Schizosaccharomyces pombe: one gene and its partner. The protein of the gene in region 1 purifies or fractionates together with the protein of each later gene. This does not show direct contact. Each region holds a gene or a part of one and is shown on either strand. Other genes may lie near its edges.

Region 1 (6,247 bases):
AACCTGCTTTTTTTCTCTAAAGGTTGCTCTTTTATACACATATCTGATTGCAAATTATTTGCTTTGTGTCGTACTTGTGAATGAGTGAGCTTTCTCTGCAAAAACTTTAATACCTTTACTTTTATCTTAATTTCTCCATCAAAAAACAATCCATACCGACAAATCGGCACTGCCTCCCCATCGTCTAATCTTACCTTACAAAAAATCCTTCACACATAATCAAGTGAAAAAAATCTCCCATCTTTTTTGGATCCCTTTTTTTTTCTTCTTCGAAAAAACTTTTGTCTGTTTCTTATAGACGCCTCTTGCCTTTTTTCTTGTTCTTGATTCCATCGTAATTTATTCTCTTTGATAGGATCGCTATACTTTTTTTTTCTCTTTTCTTATTTTTTTTTTTTTAAATTGTGCTATTTCATTTCTCTACAATTACTTCCTAACGTTTTTTAATTTCTTTTTCTTTTTTATCCTTTCATATCTTATCGCCTATTTCATCTATTGCGATCGCTAAAATTGCAAAGGTAAAATCATTCTACCACTTTCAACTTTATCTATTTATTTATTGACTCCCTCCTCCCAAAAAGTAATATTTGTGTCTTTTGTCGCATTACTCGACAACATTCTAATTGCTGACACTTTTTTTGACAACTGTTTTTTTTTTTAAATTTGCCTTTGTAAAACTTTCAAACTTTTACTCATCCTATCACTGATTATTTCCTAAAAAGGTTGTTTTATGCTCAAAAAGTTTGGTTCTTATTACCTCGTCTCCCTAACTATACCTATATTGTACGTTATTATCGTGTCCTTTACCTCACCGCCATTGGACTCGTGTTATCGTTTATACCAATAAAGCTAGTAACAACAACCTAGTGGATATATGCTGTGACTTAACGCTCGTCTTCTATTCTTATTTCCCTTGCCAAAAAAAATTTGTTTTTATGCATAAATTTTTTTTTTCTTTTGTAAATTATATTCTCTGTTACCTCTAATAATTTCTTTTCCCTAATTCTTCATTGCATGCATTCATTATCATGTCTACAACGCCATTGTCCATTTCTAGGGCAAAAAAATACAAAACAGTTTTCAAGGGTGCCGCCATTTTAACTACGTTTGCTGCCCTTTACATCGTTACCTCTCCTTCCACTGGCAAGAGGTTGGTGAAAAACGCCTCCATCAAAGGCCTTTACAATGTTTCGGGTAACGATTGTTTCCTCAATTGTGTTTTGCAATCCCTAGCAAGTCAAGAATCATTATTGGAAATCCTAAAACTCCGTTGTTCTTCCTCTACCTTATACGCTACCCTTTATGAACTTCTGCAAAAATTAAATAGTGGCCCCGGTAATCCAATCACTCCCGGTTCCTTCCTCAATTCATTAGAGATTGCCACTAATAAAAAACTTGTTCGTTCCATTCAACAAGATGCACAAGAGTTTCTACAACATCTAGTGGAAACTTTGGAACTTCAAAAACCTCACACTTACAAATGGTCGAAGGTACTCTCCTTTCCTGTAGATTCGCCATTCATAGGAACTATGGAGCAAAAGGTACAATGTTGTCAATGCCTTGCCATTAGTATTAGTTATTCTACTGCCACATCGATACAGCTTTGTCTACCTCCGGAGTACAGTGGAAATTCTAACGTTTCCTTGCTCTCTTTAATGGAAGCCGATCGCGAACAGCACATCTCTGACTATAAATGTGACTCTTGCTTCAAATCCTCCCCAAAACATTCCAAAACTTCATGCATTCGTACCGTTGATTGGAAAAATCCTCCTACGATTTTGCAAATTCAACTTGAGAGAACATCATATACCTGCCAAGGTTTAACCAGAAATAATGTTTCTATCTCATTTCCTAGCAAACTTATCCTAAAAAACAAACATCATTATATTTTACGATCCTTAATCACCCATTCCGGAAGTGTTACTTATGGTCATTATCTTTGCTATAGACTTCAAGATGACATTTGGTGGAAGGCTAATGATTCTTTAATTACTAAATCATCTCTCAATGAAGCTCTCAGTCAAACTCGTTCAGCTTGTCTTTTGTTTTACGAAATGGAATCTCCTCTTGCGCTTGATTAGCGCATATATGCTAGTTAATCGTATACGTTTTTGTACCTTAATAAAAAATTCTTGATATTTCTCCTAATGATTCCGACTGATGTCACCCTTTATAAACTGTTGAAAGCTTCAAATTATAACCTGTTGTTTTGTAGCTAAAGCATTCAATACTAATATTTTGCAAAACTTGTGTATGAAAATATATGTATGTATGTATCCACCGTATCTGTCCATAAAATCGGTTTTCTTGACTTTAAGATTTTCAAGTGGACGATTTTTTATAGGCATGGTTAAAGTACACATGGCACTTTCAAACCGTCGCCAAATGACTTATAATTTACTAAAAAAAATTTTAGATATACTCATCATGTACAATTCACAGTTTTTAATGCATCAAATATCCAAAATGTTATTATTGTCATGGGTTATCCATTTAACCCCAGGACCTTCTAATTTCTCGAATTAAGCATAAGGACCTGCATATTACACCATTTTTAAGCCATTTCTCAAATTTTAAAAGTTATAATTCCGTTTTTCTCTTTTCATAGTCTGAAAACTCTAAAACTTAGCGTGCTTCGAACTGAACCATTCTCTTGGTTCTCATTTTGTACATAACACGATGCCCACACTCTCGACAACGAATAACTTCTTTCGCTTGGATTGTATTACGCGCTCCGCAATCTGATGGTCAGTCTTTTATCATATACTCATTTAATTCTACTCAATGATCATACCCGCACATAAATAAATCATAGTGGCTGGTCTGGGGGGATTGAAAGCGGTACCGCCAGTGGAGGTTGGATGATTCATTTTGTAAACTTTTTTAGTGTATTTGAGTCTAGTTAAATCCTGTGATTTTACTTCCTCACTTGAACTTTCTAATTGTGGTGGTGAGTAGTAGCGCGCAAATTTTTACTACCATACTATTCTCAATATTAACGCTTCAAAAAAAATTGGGAAGCTAATCTTATAATACATTAATGAGTTAAAAGTTCTCATTTAAAGTACTTCAAGTACATTTCCATTTATTGGATATATAAACTTCAAATATAATTTCGTATCTAATTTTGACGTTCTTTTAAATTTAACCTTTATTAAATCTAGCAAAAGAATAAAGGGCTGGATACATAATTTTAAATTTAAATCGATAAATAACTAGATTGTTTAATTTATATTTCATAACAATTATGTGTACGTGTGAGGATAAATACAATAGCTCAAAAATAATGTATTCCCCGAGTTCTCCAATTTTTAGTGTATAAATATACGATTTCTTTGTCTTGAAATTAGTCCTGGTAATTAGTTATATAAAGCATTCAGAAACACTGTATGCATTAAAGGGTAATTCCAATTGAAATAAGTGCCTTTTTTTGCAGAACTTTTATCGAGTAATATTAATTTTCCTTTCATTTTAAAAAAATAGTTTTGACTTCTAACCGCTTTTAGAAATTTAGAGGTTCCAGTAATAGAGAAATCAAGTATGAAACAACTTTAACGTTTATACTATTTCCTAATAAGCGATACATACATTTTTCGGTTACATTAGACTTTGACCATTCGAGGCTTTCCGGGAATCCCATTAACCTGGCGACTTCTCTGGCGGTAAAATACCGAAGTTGTAAAGCCATCCGGTTCCTCTCAAATTGCTCGTGCGTATTTTCATGATCTGACATCTGCAAAATTGAGCCTGCACCTTGTACTAAATGTGTATATCCCCGTGTAAAGCAACAGCAGGAAGAGCTATCTGGCTTAACTATATCAAACTGATGGCCCCATTTATTTAACACAGACTCTAGTACCATATATGAAGACCAATCTCTTTCTATCTCCAAATAATCTCTTATTCTTTTTACTTCGCCTTCTTTTTGCGCTACCTCGCTAAATTGAAAAACATCATCAATACTCCATTCTCCTTTGAAATTGAGCCTAGCCAATCCATACCATCTACTGCGAGAATTAGGAATGTTGAACTGGTTTGGACTCAAAATACCTTCAATTAGGTTGTAACCACAATTCCTCAAAACTTTCCTGCACTCTTCAGCTGCCTTGCTCTCCTCAAAACCCTGAACATTCTCAATTAGAATGTACTCAGGCAAATTATTTACATGAGGAAGCACATTTAAAATATTTAGAAATGCTTGGGAACGAGGATCAAGAATATCTTTACGGTTTCCTATTCTAGTAAAAGGTTGACAACTGGGACTCATAGTCCATAATTTACAGTCAAATGCATCAAAATCCTTGGCCGTTAAAGTTGAAATATCCATCTATAAGTATTAATATAGTTATCGAGTAAATCCTTGAAACATACGTGTTTAGCAAGTTTTCCATGATTGAGGTTATAAATTTCATTTGCCTGTGGGTTGATATCTATTGCACACACAATATCAGCCGGTATATTTGCCAGGTTCAATGCATAGTGCATACCTCCAATACCAGAATATAGCTCCAGGACCCGTAATCTTTTTGTACTAAGCATTGAATGTAACCGAGCATGCAACACTCGGTAATCGTTTAGTGAGGGTTACAAAAGACCTACCTGCATTAGATTTTTTGCTTGGATTTGTTAAGCTTGAAAAGTCATGAGCATTTCGGGCCTTTTCAAAAACGATAAAATGTTTTTTAGTATTAAAAGTAATTAATATACAACATGATGACTTAAACAAAACTGTACGTCTTTTTGAAGCTAACTAAATGAGATCTTTTAAAAGTTTGTCCATTATTGTGAAACATAAATTCATTATGATTATATACAACCAAATCGCCTTTAAAACTAATTTTCCTTTTCCACTCTTTTACCGCTTATGTCGTTTTTGCGTCTTTTGCAATTCTTCTATATTTTCTGGCTTGAAATAATGGGGGCTTATTTCCAAGAGCCACTCGGGTTGTATTTCAGTAATTTGTCTGCAATACTCCTTAGTTGTCAAAACCAATTCAAAGTAAATGATGACTTTTGGCTTTTTCTCAGCTACAGAAGAACTAGGGTGAATATAAACGGTTTGATTACTTTTAACAGTGCGATAAGAATCCCCACTACGATCCAAGCGTGCAGCATTAGAAAAATAACCAGCTGTGATAGCTTTCTTAATAGGATCAAGGGACTCTGAAGAATTAGTTACCAATTCAATTTCCACCCGTTCACAGAGATTGGCAAGTTGATCACGAACATCTCGAGCTCGACATAAACTCTTATACTGTAAAAAGTTTTCACGGGCCCAATTGTACGAAAAGTCAGTATCTACCCATTCATTCCAAATATGAAGAAGAGTTAAATGATCACCACCAGGTTGGGTAAAGTTCGCTCTAGCTTTATCCGCTTCCATTATTTTGTCTTTTGGTCTATAGAATAAAGAGGAAGCCTCCCCTAACATAGAAACAATTGATAACACTTCTTCAACACATCCATACTTTGAAGATGCAATCAAAGATTTAGAAAGCATAGGATCTGTAGGAAACTCTGCCATCTGCCTGCCGAGCTTAGTCAATTCTCCTCTATTGTTTAAGGCACCAAGCGCATACAATAACTCTAATGAACGCATCAACGTTTCAGGTGGTGGAGCATCCATGAAGTCGAAATCTAAAAGATTATTAATTCCTAGGGATTTAAGCAAGAGAACAATATTTGTCAAATTTGTTCTTTGAATTTCAGGAGATGTTACCATATCCAGTTCATTGTTATATGTCCGACGCGTATATAAACGGAAGCACTTTCCAGGTCCTACTCGACCAGCACGGCCGGCACGCTGATCAGCAGAAGCACGGGAGCAAGGCACAGATACTAAGCTTTCCATACCAGTCCTTGGATTATACATGTTTTGTTTGACAAATCCAGAATCAATCACAAAATTCACTCCGTCAATTGTTATAGAAGTTTCAGCAATATTGGTTGCTAATACAACTTTGCGGGCACCAGGGGGTGTAGGATCAAAAATTTTAGCTTGCAATTCAGAAGGCAGATTGGCATAAATCGGACATAAAATTATTTCCGGAATTCTTTTTCCTAGTATCCGACAAAGTTCTTGCATGTTTTCGGACATTAATTCAATTTCATCTTGGCCCGTTAAAAAAACTAAAATATCACCAGCAGGCTGGGTAGTATGTATTTGAAGAATGGTTGTAATAGCCGCTTGTATATAATTTGCTTCAGGTTGCGGGGTGTAATAAATATCGACTGGATATCTTCTGCC
Region 2 (7,565 bases), on another chromosome or scaffold:
AAGATTGTTTGTCCGTCTTATGGAAATCAGAAACTTAACTATTCCTTTGGCATCGGGGATGACCACTAGGTTCACTTATACAATCTCTGGTAAGCACATTCAAGTACCATGGAACGCCTTACACTCTACTACTAAAATTGAAAATGAGTATACTTTTGATGAAAGTATTAGTTCTTCAATTGTATGTACGCTCCGTGCGGCTTACGATCCACCTAAGGTTCGCACTCGTTCTACACTTGGAAAAGTATTTTCAACAAATAAGAGAAAGTCTATGACTACCGACCCCGTTTCAGAAGCACTTCATGGATTTGTTTCTGAAGATGGAACTTTCGGCGAAGTTACCATTAACACTGATTCTGTAAGCCGAACCGCACTAGGCCGTTGTCAATCTATGGTTCTACCAATCATGAACAAATGGACTGTTGATCCGGCAGCTAAAGATGTCAAGCCTCTCCCTCGAAAAGTAGGAGAACTCGAAATCCACGTATTTTTCTTACCAGCGCTTCCTGTCTCTCTGAAAGAACTTCCCGCTTCAATCGAGTCTGCCATGTATGACTTAAAGCTTGCTGAATGGGATAGAACTTTATTGTGTGATGGTTATCTATGTCAACAAGGTGGGGATTGCCCTTATTGGCGTCGTCGCTATTTTCAATTAATAGGATCAAAGTTAGTAGCTTTTCAACAATTCTCTAAAGTTCGCAGAGCAACGATTGATTTGTCTGAAGCCACACATATCGTGGATGACAACCATTATAGTGATGAAGAAGAACTAGAAGGGTATCTGTATTTCGAATCGGGTTTCCGTATCATTTTCAGTAATGGGGACTACATCGATTTTTACGCTGAAACCGTCGGCGAAAAAGATGAGTGGATGTCTACACTTCGTCAGCATTTGGGGCAATGTTCAATGGTTCACAAAAATTGGACCAAATCATTTCTTTCGCTGAGTTTTTAAATTGACCATTTGCTTCGACCTCACTTTTTCTATTTAAATCACATTTGGTCTTTATCTTCTCCTTTATCTATATCGTCTTGCATTTTTCATTGGTTTTGTTGTTTCCCTCGCATAATACATAATGTTCATTTTATCTACCATCGAGAAGCTAGATTCGGTTGAAATGAGCTCGTTTTATATAAGCTGTTAAAAATCGGATAGCAATTACTTACTACTCCCCATGTATATTTATACTTCAGTTGCAAAATACTTCATTTTTGAAAGTTTCCCTTGATCCGAAGAAACGTTGTCAAAATAAGTTGTCTCAAAACGTTTATCTTGGCTTTGTAAATAAATCAAATTCCTTAAAATACTCTAGCTTGGCGTTGTCGAGTGAATTTATTAAGTCGTAAGCTTGCCATTTGAGAAACTTCAAAAAATAAAAATTCCACAATAATTTAATTACATTATTCTGTAAATAATTAATACCGTAATTGCTATATAGTTCAAATACCATTTTTAGCTGTTTCGCAATATCTAAAACGTATATGAGATCACTTTTTTTCATTGTCTAGCGTTTTTGTACTTCAGTTAATAACTGTTTGAATTAATAGTTTCGTTCATATTTTGCTGTCTTTTGAAATTTGGTGGTACTTTACGGTGTTACCCCCAACACTTAATTAAATGCTTAGCGGGGGATACATAGCAACTGAAATAAAGCACGCGGCGTCCGTCACCAACGTTTCACATAATTGAGTTTACAAATTTTCTATATTAAGGTGCCATAAAAAGTATGGTCGCTAAGTATTCAAACTTCGTTGAAATTAAATATTTTATAAAGTCTGTAAATGCGATATAATAAGGACTCAGAATGGAATTAACAAGAGAGAAAGTGTAAGGATACTATTTTTTTTCCTATGAAACTTATACAAACTAATACGTTTATTTTACAGTCTTTTGTTAACATTTTTGCGAATGCAATATTCTCATATACTTCCTGACTCAATCGAAAATCGAGTTATATCTACTGAGGCCCCGGAATGGGAATTGGACAAATCATTGCAAGACTTGTTGATTCATGATTATGATTATTCTAAAACTTCGTTTTCTTCAAGTCCCCCGATTGTCGCTAATGACACTGTATCCAATGTCCGAAAGCCGAGTGATACTAAACAAGTAAATGGTGCTGGGGGTCAAGTTAATCATTCTCGAGCTGAAGATTCTGATTATGCTACTTCTGACTTATCCGAATCTTCAGATGTGGGTGATGACGATAACTCGTGTATATTTTCTTTTAGCAAAGTCCCAATGCAGAAGGATGTTGCAAGTATAAAAGAAGAGGAAAGACTGGACCCCAAAATTTCCACATTAAATAATATTGATGCTATCGCAAATCTTAAGCTTACCAACATGGTAGAATCCTCGCAGGCAGTGAATTTAACCTCGTCCAAACAGTCTTCCATAAACCAGCAAAGCAGTGTTTCTACGGATTATGATGATCTACGGTCGATTTCTGAGGAATCATTTCATTTAAGTCAAGGAGAAATTCCTCTTACTTTTCCAATGAATTCTTCCTTAACTGACACTGAAGCTGATGCAGTTGTTGCGGTTGATGCTCTTTTTCCTGGTAAGCAACGCGGAACACACAATACAGTCAATAAAGCAAGATCTGTTTCGAACGCAAAGGCTCCTACATCTGCTCTTCGTGCATTACTTGAACATAAAGAAAACAGTAGCCAGAATGGGCCATTGGCTGAAAATTTTGCTACTTTTTCTGGACATGCAGAATCAAATGCCCTCCGTTTAAACATTTATTTTCCTTCGAGCGAAAGTCCTTCAAAGCCCTTATTTGTAGAACTCCGAAAGAATGTTTTGGTCTCTGAGGCTATCGGTTATATTTTACTTCAATACGTTAACCAGCAACTCGTGCCCCCAATAGAAGATGAGGCTCAAAATCCGAATTATTGGAATTTACGTATTGTTGAAGATGACGGGGAGCTAGATGAAGATTTTCCCGCTTTGGACCGTGTAGGTCCATTATCAAAATTTGGTTTTGACGCATTTGCTTTAGTTAAAGCCACTCCTGCCCAAATAAAGGAAAATCAAGCTGCCTACCCGTTTAAATCGAAGCATCCAACATCAATTCCTGAAGCCAATAACAAAACGCATATTCGGCATACTAGTTCAACTTCAAGTCAATCACAAAAGCAAGCTCAGGATGTCAAAGATACACTTAATACTTCTCATGTCGTACAGGTACGACTTCCCCCATACGGGGATAATGCTCGATTTTGCAATATTGAAATATCAAAAACTACTAGATTGGCTATGGTGTTGAACCAGGTGTGTTGGATGAAGCAATTGGAGCGATTTAAGTATACTCTGCGAGTTGCTGGATCTGATACTGTTTTACCACTTGATAAAACATTTAGTTCACTAGACGGAAATCCAACTCTAGAACTTGTTAAAAAGAAGGTACGCGATAAAAAAGGAAGTACCCAACAATTGCCAACCTCCTCACCACAAAATTCCGTTTATGGATCTATTAAGAAAGATGCACAATCTTCAACATACAATGCAACAGATATTATGTCGAGCAATACCTATCAAGAATTTCTTGTATGGAAACGACAACCTGTTTCATTTATGGGAAGACATGAGCGTCTACTAGCTATTGATGGAGAATACGTTCACATAATGCCGTCTGAATCCAAAAATATATTTGAAACGCCTAAGACGTCCAGTATACATGCTGGATCGATTATTTTATGCAAGCAGTCTAAAAAATCACCATGTAATTTTAAAATGATTGTGTCCAAGAATAGGGAAACTAAGCGGTAAGAAATTTTTTAACGCTAATAAGCTAACGAGTTCAGGTATGATTTTGAAGTTTTGTCCGCCTTGGAAGCTGCCATTATAGTTAGCAGGATACGTGCACTGATGAATACTGTTAAAAAAATAAATTAACATTTATTTATTACAAAAAGATTCTATGAATACATAGGTATAAACACCTTTGTTTTTTGGTATCACATTGCTCTCTCCCCTATGTCATTTTTATTAAACATCTTCAAAATCAGCTTCATCTTCATCGTCTTCATCGTCCTCATTAAATCCATTAATAATAACATTCTTTTTACTTTCTTGCATTTCCGTATCACCATCAGTAATACCATTTGTAGAAACAATAGGTGGTAATGAATTGTTTTCTTCTATCGATTTTGTTCTTTTATTTTGGATATCACTATCTGAATTTAGGTTCTCGGTTTTACGCTTGACCGACCCATAATCAGTACTTTTGTTTTGAAGAGAGGTAGCCGTCGTAACGTCTAAGAAGTCATCATCCTCCTCATCATCTACGTTTTCACTGTCCATAAACTCGCTTTCCTCTTTTTGCTTTGCACGAAGTGTTGCGTAATAAGCATCTAAGGCGCTCTTTTCAGAAGTAATATCTGTTTTAGTGTCTTGAACCTCATTAACAGTTTCAGTTCTAAAACTATGAAGTGCGGCATCTTTAGCTCCAGCACGAGTAATGGAGCCAGAAATTGTTGATGTTGCATGCCATTCGGGAAGAATGTTTTGAGCAGCTTTGACTTGCTTGTCGCAATTCCTTTCACGCTTTTCATCAGTCTCTTTATCAGCAGAGAAATCAACTGTAATAGATGGCGAAGAGGTGGAAAGACGGACGTCTGAATTACTTTTTGACAAGTTTTGTTGCGACAAATTTTGGGTGTCTAACGAAACAGGAACCGCATGTTCTAAAGCAGATTGGAAATTGTTTTGTGGTACGACAATTTCATCCACCCTTTTCAATGCATCGATTATACCATTAACTTGTCCCATCAGTTTTCCTAGCCTTTTCTGACTAGACATCATTTCTGCACTCTCCTCATCGTCTTTGAGTTCGGTTCCACAAACGTTACAAGCAAAAGTTCCCTCGTTGGTCACCAAAGACAAAACGTCAAGGCTAGAAAACTTTTTGTTGCAAAATGGACAAACATAGCCTTTAGAATCGAAATCCTGCTAAGTTAGTGAAAGTGACGATAATAAGAGATTCGTAAAAGTAGTGGGTAAAACACTAAGCAAAAAGAAGGAAACAATATGGTAAACCTTTTATGAAAAAAGGCCCAATTAAAAAAGGAACTTACATTTCGCATTCGATCTTCTACTGTTTTCACTAATTGGTGCATACGCCATTTAATGCTGTCAATCGTAGAACAGAAATCGATATAGAAATAGGTTGTATGATATTGCCTTTGTTGGCCTTCCTTCATTTCCGTCCTACTTTGACTGAAAGGTTAGCAGCTGGTCATGGAATTGCCTTCACGTACATTGCCAATAAACGATCCTCGCGCAATTTTCCAGCAATAAACCGACATTCTTTTATAGGGATACCCATTAACAGCGCTGTTTGCTCATCTGTAAGTCTACCAAAGGTTAAAATCGTTCTGATCTTGTGAAGCACGTACGCTGAATGTCGCAAAATCGCATCCATAAATATTATATGTCTAGTTTCGTAAAACGCCCTCATAATCATTTTTATAAGTCTCTGTACTATTTCTGGAGCATTGGACATAGTAGATAAATGATACGATAAATCGAAGGAAGGTTTTTGCAGCGAATAATAAAGGGTGATGGAGTAGTGGAGAATGTACCACAAAAAGACACTGCTTAAGGCGTTAACTAATGACTCTTTAAATGCCTATAGTCATGAAGACTGTTAATTTAGAAAACATCTTTTAAAATGACATTCAAACATAATAGTCTTAAAAGTGGTCCATTGCCTTAAATTACTATAAATTTATTCACAATGTCCGTTGTTCAATAAATTCTTCGGTGAACTAGCTAAAACTTGATACGTATTAAAATTCATGCACAATTAGGATAGTATCATTGTTTAACATAAAATCATTAATGAGACGTTATTTGAAAAGTTATATACAAAATTATCTAATGTAGAAAGGTAAAGTACTAGAAAGAAATCGAAAGTCATCAGCATAAAGACCCATCTGCCTCTAGTGTATAATCATAATGAAAGCATACATGTTGATTAGCATGTTCCACACTTTTGGAAGATTCTTCAATCGTAAGCTTTAATTTCTGATATGCAGCATCCTTGTAACAAATAAGAATAGTCATTTCATCTAACCAATGTAAAAGTACAGGGTTAGATTGATAAAGCTGAATTCTCCAATGTGCACGTTTTCCACTATCAATTAACTTAAGTAATTTTCGTTTCCAGTGAGTTTGACGGGGTTCGGTTGTAGAAGATTTAAATTCACTTGCTTCCTCATAAGGTTCTTCAGACGTTAATTGACGAATTGTATTAGGACTTCCGTGAAGAGAAAATATATGTAAAGTTTCTTTCTTACTTGCACAAGCCAACAATAATTCATCGGGAGAAAACGCTAATTGACAAACTGCCGTGTGTTGATAGCCACGACGAAATTCGCAAATTTTTTCTCCAGTTTCTGAATTCCAAATACGAATTAAAGTACCGTTTGTTGAAGAGGATGCTATTTTTGAACCAGTTTTGGATATACCCAAACATGATATCTCACTATCATGTGCAGGCACTATGCTAGTGTTCATATGATCCTTAAAAAGAAATAATATTTGCAGCTGGCCGACCTTTCTAGAAGGAAAAACGATAGCAGTTTTCTCAACAGTAGTAACCATAGCGCATAAGCCTACATTTCAAAAGTCAGCTTCGACTATGCTAAGCAAAGAATGTCTTACCTTTTGGATTCTGGGTATCAAGGCATCTTTGTAGTTTTAAGTTATTTCCGAATTGGTACAAAAATAGCTTTGATGCGGTTGCAATTGCTAATCTTAGATATGTTAGTTGTTAATAAGACGACAAGCAATATAAAAGAGAAGAACGTACAATTTCCCATCGAAACATATTCCTTTTATTTCAAAATTCAATTCAAGCTCTTTTACCGGCCTCTCTTTCACATCATCCCAAACAATAAGCTGTAAACAAGCTTAGCTAAAAGAAAACAAAGCATTACTCAAACTTACCTTATTTGGTGCGTATTTTGGATTTCCACCGCCGCCTACTAAGAGTAAAACATTGCTTCTAAAAAGCATTTTGACTATTGAAAGACCACCGTCATTGAACTCTAGACAATTGTAAATATTCAAATAAGAGATCTGCATATTGCAAAACTTACGTCTTTGAGCGCGCAGCTTTAGAGGGTTAATTTGAAAGATTTTATAGCCTGTATCTAGCGCAACAGACATGCATGAGGCATCTTGATTTAATGATACAGTATTAATAGTTGACATTCCAATTTGTGGGGTTTATGCATTATGCAAAACTACTTTAGATTGTTCTCGGTGAATTCGGTAAATTACACACCGTCAATTATACAATTCATCACTTTCTTTAGAAAACACAACCTTTTTACTAGGCATAATAATGTATTAGTTCAACAACAGCTATAATGGAAAAGCAAGTTTGGATAAAAAAAAAAGTGTAAATGTGGGCATATAATCATTAAGTCATTAATGTTTAGGATCGCATATACTGCGCAAGATTGTGCATGCGATCTATGATTTGAGGAAACAGAGCACTGACAGAATCATTAATTAATTGTTCAAAATATTTGATGGCATCTGATTCAGA

Evidence for each region.
Region 2: the proteins of rpc10 (region 1) and tfa1 purify together in Schizosaccharomyces pombe (affinity purification with western blotting, with the first as the bait; one study listed by BioGRID). This does not show direct contact.

Annotation. Positions count from the first base shown.
Region 1 is NC_003423.3:1,672,358-1,678,604, reverse strand, and holds rpc10 (DNA-directed RNA polymerase subunit Rpc10), read right to left. Parts: upstream 2,967-6,247; 5' UTR 2,871-2,966; coding exon 2,795-2,870; exon of another isoform or gene 2,742-2,794; coding exon 2,626-2,741; 3' UTR 2,417-2,625; downstream 1-2,416. Other genes in the region: ubiquitin hydrolase Ubp11, read left to right, coding at 1,029-2,081; pmt1 (DNA methyltransferase), read right to left, coding at 3,503-4,327, 4,372-4,539; ATP-dependent RNA helicase Cdc28, read right to left, coding at 4,856-6,247. UniProt on the Schizosaccharomyces pombe protein: DNA-dependent RNA polymerase catalyzes the transcription of DNA into RNA using the four ribonucleoside triphosphates as substrates.
Region 2 is NC_003424.3:4,742,529-4,750,093, reverse strand, and holds tfa1 (transcription factor TFIIE subunit Tfa1), read right to left. Parts: upstream 5,566-7,565; 5' UTR 5,511-5,565; coding exon 5,404-5,510; exon of another isoform or gene 5,362-5,403; coding exon 5,266-5,361; exon of another isoform or gene 5,225-5,265; coding exon 5,083-5,224; exon of another isoform or gene 4,955-5,082; coding exon 3,995-4,954; 3' UTR 3,902-3,994; downstream 1-3,901. Other genes in the region: mid2 (septin ring organizing protein), read left to right, coding at 1-955; MAP kinase-interacting protein Sin1, read left to right, coding at 1,806-1,828, 1,888-3,771, 3,811-3,901; WD repeat-containing protein Atg1803, read right to left, coding at 5,927-6,624, 6,674-6,765, 6,822-6,910, 6,959-7,059, 7,111-7,225; phosphatidylinositol 3-kinase Pik3, read right to left, coding at 7,452-7,565. UniProt on the Schizosaccharomyces pombe protein: Recruits TFIIH to the initiation complex and stimulates the RNA polymerase II C-terminal domain kinase and DNA-dependent ATPase activities of TFIIH. Both TFIIH and TFIIE are required for promoter clearance by RNA polymerase.